Linked DNA regions of Rattus norvegicus. The protein of the gene in region 2 interacts with the protein of the main gene of each other region in a pairwise test. Links are inferred from orthologs where the notes say so. Each region holds a gene or a part of one and is shown on either strand. Other genes may lie near its edges.

Region 1 (6,375 bases), on a different chromosome or scaffold from region 2:
CTGTCCCAATTGGCTGTTTGGAAAACCCACTATGAACTCGGCTGAAGATAATTATCACAATATGTCCCTTGGAGTGCTCAAAGAAAGACCTTTTATTCAGTTCCTCGAATCTACCCCCTCCTGACTCCTGTCGAAGAATACAGTCTCAGGAAGAAGAGGAGGAGGAAGAGGAGGAGGAAGAAGAGGAGGAGGAGGAAGAAAAGGATGAGGAAGAAGAGGAGGAGGAGGAGTGAACAACGGAAGATGACTCAATCACACATTTCCTGGTCAATGGTGGTGGCTGGGTTAGCAGATGGTTAACAAAGTTGTTTTCTACCCTCAGAAGGAAAGGTTGACCCAGGCTCAACCCCAAGAAAGTCAGCAGCTATTGCAACCAGGTGCCAAGACATGCACCTACCAATCCAATGTTCTACCTGGCTCTTGCAAGCAAAAGCTTAAAAACAAGGAACCCCCTCCTCTCTGGCTTTCCGTCTGACACCTAAGTTGGAGATTACACGGTCAGGTACCAGCTGAACAGAGGCCCTTTCAACCTGCAGTGTTTGCTGTTACGTTTTGGAGCTGGCATGCAATGCTGGCCTTTAAAGCCTGTTTGATGTTTTTTGTTTTCCTTTTTTTCCCAAGCATGTGGCCAGCAATGTGGGCCACATGAAGAGTAGCACCTGGCTAGTCTCCTCTAGCTAAGAGCACTCCATGGTCTCAGCTCAGATCCCTATGGCCTTCGGACAAGGGAGGCAGTGACTGGGTCCTAGAGCCTTGGATGCTTGCCCCTTCATGATTCCCAGAGCACCTAACTGTCCTAGGTGTCCCTCAGAGGGGCTTCATGAAAAATTTAGGTCTGGACATGTTCCGTCTGATCCTGTGCCCTCTTCCAAGCCCAGCCCCACCAACTCCAGATGCTGAAAGCAGCAAGAGGGGAAAGAAAGCACACACAGACCTGTAGAGAAGCTACTCCTTCCTAGAAGCTTAGCCTGCTCCAGATGTCTCCATCCCGTGAGAAAAGGTTCTCCTTGCTCTTCCAGATGCCCAACAACTTTTACATTTTGCATTGAGGTCACCCTAACTTTGGGCAAATCCAAAGTCCTAAATGTCACATATATTCATGTCCCCACCCCTGCCACTCCACCCAAACAGGAATCCTTTCCGTTTAAAGAAAAGAATGTGAAAGGGACGGAAGCCTCACCTGGACTCTGCTGCCTCCCTCCGCCCTCCTCCCGGTCTTCCATTTCCTGGCAGTTTAAGCCTCATGTCCCACCCTCACCCCTAATATGTCTCTGCTGCCTTGAGCTCCTGCAAACCCCATGTGTCAACACTCCCTTGGCCATAGAGAATACCAAGAATAAAATAGATTGAAACCATATTTTAAATGATTACCCTTCATTTGTTTTTAAATTAAAACGAGCTCGTGGTTAAAACAACAGGAAACATTCAGGTCTTCACCAAAAGCCCACAAGCTACCTTTACTGTCACCCACTACAGCATATGCCCTGGGCTGACAGGAGCCTAGGGGAATGGGGAATGGGGACTGACCTGAAGGAGGTGACACCCTGCAGGGAGTTCTGATGGGTAAACAGATGGCAGGCCTGGGTAGAAGGGTCCTATCCCAGTTCTCCTGGTGATTCTGTGGATGGCCCATGTGTGCTGGGGTCTAGCTCTGGACCCCTGGACACTAAGAAGTCATTACTACTATCCTTTGGTCTTTGTAATGGGATAGCAGTGACTCTGACTCGTAAGCCCTCTTCGGAGAGCTATATCTGCAACACTGAGTCAGCATGCCCCAGAAGGCGGGAAAATGGGGAGACGAAGGAGAGCTTCCCCTGCGGAAGGGGAGCATGTCTGGCTCAGCACCAGGGCTGTGCCCTGGCTCCCACCTAATCCCCATTCATCTTCTCACCAGCCTTAACTCTCTCCCAGCTTTACTCACTGTCTGTATGTTCATCTGGTCTCCAACCAGAACCAAGCTCAATGACACATAAACAGCTTGGCTTGAGGGAGCCCCACAAATGCTTTGGATTATGTTCTCATTAAAGTGAGAGAGGCTAATGTGGCAAGCCGCCGAAGAGTTCCAGATATAGGCCAATCAGAGTCCCCAAGGGCAGGACTCTAGGCCGGACAGCAGGAAGTCAGGGGATTAGGAAAAGGAGAAACCCTCCTTGGGGACTGGAGAGGACTATGAGTTACAGAAATGAGATGTCATCACCAGGAAAAGGGCCAACACTCAGGAAGCATTGGTCGAGAGAGGACTGGACTATGGGCAGGCAGCTGTCCTTCCCCTCCGTGGGCCAATTCTCACAGCTCTGGAAAGTGGTGGTCCCTATTGGCTCCCTTTGTTAATGGCAAGCAATTTAAGGGGCTCTCACCAGGGGAGTAAGGGTGTGGCGAAGCTGCTATGGGAGGGGTGTTTGCTGAAGGCTGGTGTCAGCCAGGCTTCATTTAAATCATCCCAGATTCCTTGCAAAGGCTATAAACAGTGAAGTGATGAAATTGCCTTTGGAGCCAAAACAGGGAGGAGGCCCTGTCCCAAGGGAAGGCCAAGAAGCGCCACTAAAGAGTGGTGAGGAATGAGGAGCAAGGACAGGAAGGAAGGGATATCTCTCTGAGGGGCTCAAATGAAGCCTGAAGACCAGAGCCCCCCTATCATGCAGTGTTCTGCAGAGTTCTTGGGGGTGGGCCTTCCTAGATAGATGCTGAAGTTTCCGTTTAGACAAGCACAGAACGGTCCAGAGAATTCTAGTCCACCCAGCCTGAAGCTTTTGGGAAAGAGATCATCACCCTATAAAGTGCCTGGGCAAAGCAGTCCTTGTAAACAGCTGGCAGATTGACCGAGGGATCCCAGACTGAATGGCAAAGCAGGGCTGCAAAGGTTGATATACATGTAACAAGATGGGCTGCACCTCACACACCACCCAGCTGCTCCCTGTCTCCCTCTCCCACTAGTTCTTCTTTACAGTGCTTACCAGCAGGCAGGCAGGCAGGCAGGCAGACAGACAGACAGACAGACACACACACACACGCGCGCGCGCGCCCCATTTCCCCATCCATCTGTCAAATCCAGAGACTTAACTTCTCTAATTTCTTATACCATCTCCTTTTCAGGCTACTTTTAGGGATCCATCAGGACAGGAGAGATAGGAGCACTTTTAAGCCCTAATATGTTCTCATCTTCAGCCTCTCTCAACTCAGACTTCCCCTGGAGGTGGGACTCTGAATCCTGGGGCCATAAGGCACTCAGACATGTTCCAGTGTAGCTATAGGACCACTTAGCAGAAAGCATAATGAAAACTCAGGCAAAGGTTTCAAGGCACTCTTCCCCGAGCCAGCCACTGTGCTAGACACGGTGCCTGCCCCTGCCCTCTGAGCATGAGAGCTGGCTGTCAAATTCCACAGAGATGAATCCATGACCCTGGAGAACATGCAGCAAGGGCCTTACTCCAGTGTTGGTTGAATTGTGACAGACCTTGGAGCTAAGCAGAGGGGCTGTATGGGAGTTGCGAGAATCCTCCTCAGTTCCTTCCCTGATGCGCCCACTCAAGGTTGCCACTGCTTCTCAAGTGTTCTTGCCCACCATCTTTGTTTCTTTTCCTGTTGCTATGATAAATACTAACAAAAGCAACTTCAGGGAGAAAGTCTTTTGACTCACAGTTAGAGGTACAGACTGTCATGGCGAGGAAGTCCAGCCAGTGTGAGCTTGAGCCAGCGGGCCATGCCCATCTGCAATCAGGAAACAGACAGTAATGCATGCTTGCTGCTGCTCATCTCCTTTTCTCCACATACACACTCCAGAATCCCAGCCATGGAATGCTGCCACCCACCACAGACAGGTCTTCCCACCTTGGGTAATTCTACTCGAGATACTGCTCCCTAGGCATGGCCAGAAACCCATTCCCAGGTGACTGTAGATTCTGCTAAGTTGGCGTTGAACATTGACCGTCAAATCCACACTGCATCTCATCTTCCCAGTTGATCACAGAAGACACAAAGCAACATTTGGAACATGAGGTTAAGGAATCAATGGTGTACAAAACCCTAGAGGGCTGTTGGTCATTGTCACAACCCTGACGTTCTGCCTGCTCAGTCAAGTTATTGTCCCTTCTCCTTCTCCCCTGGTCTTGTAGTTGCAGGAGAAATAGCTCTTAGAACTGTGAAGGATTTCTGTTCCTCCCTCCTAGTGGTAGTACACAAGCCAAGGAGAGAAGATTTTTTTGAGTGCAAATCTTGGCTTCTCCACTTGTATTGTGTGTACCGTTAGTAACATTCTTAAATGTCTTTGGCCCTCAGTCTATTTGACCATAAAACTGATACTTTAGACTGTAAAATTTATATGATTGTCAAAATGATTGCCTTGAGGCCAGACCCAACACTTCGGCCACATTTCAAAAATGAAATCAAGAAAACAGAGAGGACTGGCTGCTTCCAGCACGTTTTGGGGCTTTAAATTTTTAGGTAAAAGGTAAAAAACAAACATCTGACCAAATGCATAGGTGGAGTTGAAAGAAAAAAGAGATTTCCAGGGACCAAGCAAAACAAGCCCCAACAAAGAGGAATTCTTGGAGGAGGAACAAGAGGAGGAGGACAGGGAGAAGGAAACAGAGGTGGCATTAAACTGGGAACTCAAGCCAGAGGGGACACAAATATAGGGCCAAGTGGCAATATCCTGAGCATGGAGTCTGCAGTGTGTACAATGATGGGAACAAGTGACTGTGAGTCCCAAGGGACAACTAGGTCACTGCTCCCACAGCAATGCCGGGACCACACCTGTCCTTCCTCAGGACTACTGTCTGTCACTGTGTCTCACTAGGGACAGTCCAAGACCTTTCCGATTGGTCATGACACTCACTCTGACTGGTTGGTGCCTGATTATACCTGTCAGGAAAGATTCTAACTTGTATCTCAGCTGGTTCCTCTGAAAATAAGGAAGGAGAGGAACAAAAGGCTAAGGGAAAAGGGCCATTTGGCTGAGAGCTGACCAGAGAACAACTCGACATCTCCAGACTCCAGGTAGGGTCTCCTGTGTGTGTGTGTGTGTGTGTGTGTGTGTGTGTGTGTGTGTGTGTGTGTGTGTATGAGTGTGTGTGTGTGTGTGTATGAGTATGTATGTGTGTATGTGAGAGAGAGAGAGAAAAAGAGAGAAAGAATATATGTGAGTGTGTGTGTGTGTATGAGAATGTATGTGTGTGTGTGAGAGAGAGAAAAAGAGAGAAAGAATATATGTGAGTGTGTGTGTATGTGTGTGTGTATGTGTGTGTATAAGTGTGTGTGTGTGTGTATGTGTGTGTGTGTATGTGTGTGTGTGTGTTAGGGATAGAACCAGGCTCTCATACATGGTAAGTACTTTTTTAGTCCTTAGGGCCAATGTTCCTCCACAAGCGTTTCACCAACAATGTTTTAGAATACAAGATAAAATATGGGGGTAATTTGAGTTAAACTCATAAATACGTTTGTCTTTATAATGAGCCTCACTGGGGTATGCCAGCAAATCAATATATGCCATGCAGTTAAAAGTATGATTTTAATATCCTTCTTTGCGGATAACTTGCCAATTATCTTATTAAAATATCCTTATGGTCCAGGCCCTCCTCTGGCCTCTGTGGACATTGCAACCACATACACATACCTCATACAGTTGCACACACATACACATAATTAAAAACAAAATAAAGGGGTTGGGGATTTAGCTCAGTGGTAGAGCGCTTGCCTAGCAAGCTCAAGGCCCTGGGTTCAGTCCTCAGCTCCGAAAAATAAATAAATAAATAAAATAGCTTAATGGTGCATATATATATATATATATATATATATATATATATATATATATATATATATATATATATATATATATGGCTGGTGTTAAGACACATAAGCAGCTTTCTCTTGAGAAGCCCACAGTCACACTGGGGCATGCTCTGTTCTTCCTGAGTGTCTCTCTATTGACATCCGAACTAAAAGGGTCAAAGATGCTTCTCCTAAGGAGTTGAGGTTCTGTCCTTGACTTTATCCCCATTTCCCAGAGCAAAGTAAGTCCTAGTGGGCTCAATGGCTTGCTCTGCCTCTTTATTTTTTAAATTAGTTAACTAATTAATTAATTTACAGTCCAACTGCCATTTCCCCTCCCTCCTCTGCTCCCTGTCTCTCCTCCTACCTCCCCCTCCCCATTCACTCCTCCTCCTCTTCTCTTCAGCAAAGGGCAGGCCTCCCACAGATATCAACTATCTGTGGCCTATCAGTAAGTCTAGGTGTATTGTCTTCTATTAAGATTAGACAAGACAACCCAGAAGGAGGAAGGGTCCCAAAGGCAGGTCAACAAAGTAAGAGACAGCCCCTGCTCCTGCTGATAGGAAGACCAAACTTCTACTATATGTGAGTGGAGGACCTATGTCAGTC
Region 2 (5,575 bases):
CATCCTGGGGTTACGGATTCATTCTGTGGGACCCCAGCTTTGCCATGGGTTCTGGGGAATCAGAAGTAGCTCTTCATGCGTGCCCGGCAAGCACTTATCTGACAGAGTCACCTCGGTGAGCCTTGGAATTTAACTGTCCGACATCGTCGGTGTGGCAAGCCTTTCTGTGCATCCTAAATTCTCGTGTTTGGGGACAGGGTTTTCTCCTCCTGGCTCACACACAGCTGGTGTCTCAGTGTGGGGTGTGAGCTGCTAGCACCCTTCATTTGCCCACCAGAAGGGAAGCCAGCCATACAGCATTCACTGGGTTTTATCAAATCAAAACCTTGGCCCGCACCTGTCCATATTTAATGCTTGGGAGGAAGGGAATGTTTTTCTTCTTGCCAGCTCATCAGAAACCTAAAGCTGGCATGATTTTTCCAGTTCAGCAAACTTCTGGAATTCGCTTGCCTCAGAAGGTGGGGTAGGTGGGCTTTGAGTCTCCGGGCGCATATGGCCCCCAATCACTTAGCTTGCTCTCACTGTCAGCAGAGCAGGGTTAATGGCTGAAATCTGTTGCCCCTTTCTCTGCAGAAGGAAATCGAAGCTCTCCGGGCAAGGGTGTCTGTGCTGGAGGCGAAGGAACAACGGCTGAGCCAAGAGTTGGAGGATCAGGAGATGCTGCTCCGGTGGCAGGGCTGTGACCAGATGGCACTGGTGGCACAGCTGTCCCCAGGCCAGCTGCAGGAGGTCAGCAAGGCCTTGGGAGAGACTCTGACCTCTGCCAGATGGGCTCCCTTCCGCGTGGAGCCACCCGAAACCCTCAGGAGGTACTGGTGACTTTCTGAGTTTCCAACTTTACTTCTCTCACCCGTTTATCATCGAGATGACTTTATTGTCCCTTGTCCACAGGCGCTCCTCAGTCAGGTTGTTGGCTGAGTGGAAGGGGTGGAGATGTTCTGATGTTAGATTGCCTGCGGGGTCAGTCATGAGTGCTGGGAGGTATTTGGTGTTCAGTCCACCTAATCTGTATCAGCAATGTCCCCTTCTCCAAGAAGCAGTTTCCAACACTCTGAGGGGCTGGCTTGTCTCTCCTTCCTTGTCTCCCTCCCTCCTTCCCTCCCTTCCTCTCTCCCTCCTTCCTCCCCTCCCCCCTCCCCTCCCACTCCATATTTCCTTCTCCTCTCTCTCCCTTCCTCCCCGCTCCCTCCTCCCTTCCCTCCCTCTCCCTTCCCTCTCCCCTCTCTTCTCCCTTCTCTCCTCCATTTCTTCCTTCCTCCTCTTCTTCATCCCTTCCTCTCCCCTCCCTCCTCCCTTCCTCTCTCCCTCCCTCCTTCCTCCCTTCCTATATTCCCCTTCCTCTCCCCCCTCCTCCCCTCCCTCCTCCCTTTCCTCCCTTCTACATCTGGGATTCAATTAGATAGAGATAGTGACACCGGCCTTTGCTGGAGGTAATCATCTGGAGAGGGACAGATTCCACTTCTACTCAAGGGATAGGGCATGGCATTGAAAGACTGTGCCCTGGGCTACAGTGATGCTTGGCTACAGTTTTAGTGCACAAGCATGGGGGCCTGGGTGTGGATCCCCAGAACTCGTGTAGAAATCTGGGTGCAGCGGTACATAGCTTTAACCTCATTTCTGGGGCCTCAGACTCAGGAGGATCCCTAAGGTTTGCCGGCCAGCCAGCTTAGCTCCAGGTTCAGTGACCCTGTGAGTGTGATAGAGGAAGACGCCCCATCTCCTTCTCTCTCTCTCTCTCTCTCTCTCTCTCTCTCTCTCTCTCTCTGTCCCTCTCTCTTTCGTCCGTCTCTGGCTCGTATGTGTGTGTGTGTACATGCACAACCAATAAAAGACCCCCCCCCAGACAGACAGACAAACAAAGGACAGCTGAACCAGTGTTTTCGTAGGCACTGGGATGAATGGGACGAGCGACCCTGTGCTGCTGGTTGTGGCAATCACCATGTGCCTGGTGCTAGACCGGCCGTCGCTTTGTGGGTCGCATCTATTTTCCTGCCTGTTCTCCAGACAGGGAATAGAAGACGAAGAAAGCTAACAATCAGAAGAGAAGTTTTTAATTTGCCCAGTGTCTTAATAGGAGAGAGAAACATGCCCAGGATTTTCAACCCTGGCACACCACAAAGTGAGTCTTTCCTATGCTTTGAATCATGGAGGGCTTGGGAGATACACCACATACACATCTACTAGGTTGTTACTTATTGATCAATTGATTCTTTTGAATAGGGTTTCACTATGTTGTTCAGGCTCCTCCGATCTTCCTATTGCTCTCCAGGCACTCAGATCTCATTTTGGAGACACGGGGAACACTCTTACATATGCAGGAAGAAGTGCTTGTGGAGGGCAGGGAAGATGTCCAGTGGGGGTTCAGGGCTCTGCTGGGTCACTACCCTCCTGCCTGTGGGGATATACATTTTATGACTCCTGGATGAATTGGGAGACTGACAATAGAACCATTTAGGGATACTGGTCAGTCTCTGCTAGCCTCAAACTTGTGGCAGTCCTCCTGTTTCCGCCTCATGAGTTCTGGGATTCATCACTACACCTGGCTACTTCAGCCTGGCAACTTTTATCACTCACAGACTTGACAACATCAATGGAGGCCATCTGTAGACTTGAGGCCCTTTCTGGCCTCAAGCAAGTGAACCATGCCAGAACTTACCCAGGAGCTTGCTAAGAACAGGGTTATCCCAGCATGCTACTCAGGGAGCCTATGCTGGCTTGAAGCTGAGCAAGGCCTGATGGGCATCTAGTGCTCTAAAAAAATATTCTCTGAGAAATTCAGAATGCACAGGATGTATTTTGATCATAACTGCTTCTCACCTGTCCCCTCCGAGTCCTCCCAGATCTCTCTCAGTGTCTTCTTCCAAGTTGTCCAACACTTCATGTCCTTAAAAACAAAACAAAACAAAGCCCCAAGTCCCCTGAGTTGTCTGTTTATGTGTGGGTGTACGGTCATGCTCAGGAGCAGGCAACCTAAGGCAGAAGTCACCCCCAAACAAACCATCTCTCCTCTGGCACCCATCAACTGCAGGAGGTCAAAGGAGACAACTTTTAAATACCAGGAGGGTCAAGATGTCCCACGCCAGGAAGCTGACAGGACAGAGAAACACAGAAATCACATAAAATGTCAGACTCGTTACAGAGAATTGGTGACAAACAATGTTGAGGCTGTAGAGAAAACAGATCCCTCATTCACCGTTGGCGGAAGGGCGGGCTGGTGCAGCCACTGTGGACATCAGTGTGGAGGCTTCTCAAGAAACTAAATATGGAAAGCCCAAACAACCCAGCAATATTTCCTTCCAGGCATCGACCCAAGAGGCTGCTCCCTACCGCAGGGATTCACATCCATGGTCATTGTGGCTCTGTCGGGTAATGGGCTGGTGGCACACCAATAATGGGCTTTTATTTGGCTGTGAAGAAGAAAATGAAATTTCGGAATGTAGAGGGAAACGGAAGGAACTGGAAAACGCTATGTTAACTGATGCCCCAGAAAGACAAGTACCTCGTGTCCTCTTGTACGTGGATCCTAGCATCTGATTTCCACATATGTGTATTTATGTGGGAGTGAGGTCATAGGCCAGGAAACTGAGAAGGGGCTTTGAGGCAGGGGTATGGAGAGGGCAAGAAAATGTGTGTGACGCAGGAAAGGCAATTGTCTTAGGGCGGTAGATTTGTTAAATACAGGTGGCAGCAGCGAGGCAGAGGCTTGGAGGAGAATTTGGGCCCTTGTGGCAGCTTGCGTCCACCTGTGGGTCTCCGAGGAAGGTGGCTCATCATACAGTTGATTAGCAGTCTACAGCTCAGACCTGCAGCCAGGCTGAGGTTAATTCCTGAGCGGCAGTGGGAGGGGAGGGGTCCTGCTTCCCAAGGAAGGAATGAGTGAGCTGGCTGAGAAGGGGTGGGTGAGGCCCAGGATTATATTCAGTTAAGGTACCATTACAGGCTGGGTACGTGCTGCCTTTAGCTTTCTGGTATCTTGGAGTCTGGGAACCCAGCCCTGTAGGCTTTCTTGGGGGAATTGAGAATTATAGCGCTTGTCATTCTCCAGGAACCGGGGCACTTGGGGAGTCTCTTACAGGGAGGAGGGGGCTGCAGCTTTAATGGCTCTTGGTGGGGGCTCCCCATTTCCTTCAGAGCGGCCATGTAAAGGAGGCTTCTGGGCCTGAACGGGCACTAGCCCAGACTGACTATAGTGGAAAGGGGAGTGGGAGGGAGGGAGGGTTCTAGCAGTGGGGGTGGGGGTAGCATTGAGAGTCTTCCTGGAATTGTTAAGAGTCAGAACATGGGTCTTGGCTAACAGACTAAGCCCTCAGTAGGGCAGTTATAGAGACAAGTAATCATGGAAGCAGAGGTGGTTTTATTCAGTGTGACCCCTTGAAAGAACAGTGAGGGACAGTGACCCCTGAATCCATCGTGAGCTCTTAACAGAAGGTTTAGTCTTCTAGAGGGCACGGCTGTGCATGGCTAAGCAGTGCTGGTCAAGTGTGGGCCTGCCCATCACTGACCTTCCTCTCCGCTCCAGTCTGCCCTGCACAGTAGTCTGTCACATTGTCAGAACCATGTGACATCTCTCTACGGGACAAGTTCCCTCTGGGTGGCTCCAGTCTTCTTCTCTCAGCGTGAGACTCCTGAGAGCCAAAATCTGATGGCCAAAGGAAGGGACCCTCGTGCCTCTTTGGAGATGTCTTCATTCCTGCTGGTGTTTACCAGGAGGGGGAATTGTGAGGAGCAGATTGGGGCATGGAAGGACAAGCTAAGCTAAGCATGTAGGAAAATACCACACGCTAATTAGAAAGTAAACTCAAAAGAGAGCTAGGGTCTAGCCTGAAATCTCAACCCCTGGGCTTGAAAGCAAGCTCCAACTCCTCTTAATTTCTTTTCGAAGACGATTTGGTTTATTTTAGCCACATGAACGTTTTACCTGCGTGTATATCTATGCACCACATGCGTGCCAGATGCCCGTGGAGGTCAGAATTGAGCATCGGGTCCTTGGTAACTGGAGTCAAAGGCAGTTGGTTGTGAGCCACCACGTGAATGCTGGGAACTGAACTCAGGTCCTCTGCAGAGAACCAGCGCCCTTAACCAGCATCATCTGCCCAGCCTTGGCAGTTGCCTTTTGTCCTGCAGGACCTCCTTTGATGCAGGCATCCGGAAGGAACTGGACGCGCATTCCATCCCAGACTGGCTCCATTAACGCTGTAGGTCGTGGGGCTGGGATGTGAGGGTGAAGCAGGCTGGTGAGGAGTGAGGAAGAGGGGACAGAGGATCGAGGTCACAGTCTCCACTGTTTCCCGAGGGCTGCATCGGTGCCCGGGTGTTCTGCCTGTTTGGCATATGAGGAGAAGAGGCGTGGTGATCCAAATTCATTGCTTTCCAGTGCCGCCAGCTGTACCCGTCCACACCCCCCCCTTGCTTCACACTCCAGGGGAGGGCAGCCTGGGACCTCATCTAGCATGCATCTGGCTCCCTGTACGGCTCAATGAGGGTAATTGCAGTAATAACAACAGCAGGCTGGTGCGAGGCTCGCTGGCACTCCTCGGGGATGCTTGGCTGCTTACGTTGGTCTGTGGTTGGGTCC

Evidence for each region. The genes of interacting proteins can lie anywhere in the genome.
Region 1: the proteins of Disc1 (region 2) and Clu interact in binary tests that used the Homo sapiens proteins (3 or more experiments, as listed by UniProt). The link is inferred for Rattus norvegicus from reciprocal best matches to the Homo sapiens genes DISC1 and CLU.

What each region holds. Positions count from the first base shown.
Region 1 is NC_086033.1:44,333,934-44,340,308, reverse strand, and holds the start of Clu (clusterin precursor), read right to left. Parts: upstream 3,691-6,375; 5' UTR 3,638-3,690; intron 1-3,637.
Region 2 is NC_086037.1:69,987,878-69,993,452, forward strand, and holds part of Disc1 (disrupted in schizophrenia 1 homolog), read left to right. Parts: intron 1-573; coding exon 574-809; intron 810-5,575. UniProt on the Homo sapiens protein: Involved in the regulation of multiple aspects of embryonic and adult neurogenesis. Required for neural progenitor proliferation in the ventrical/subventrical zone during embryonic brain development and in the adult dentate gyrus of the hippocampus.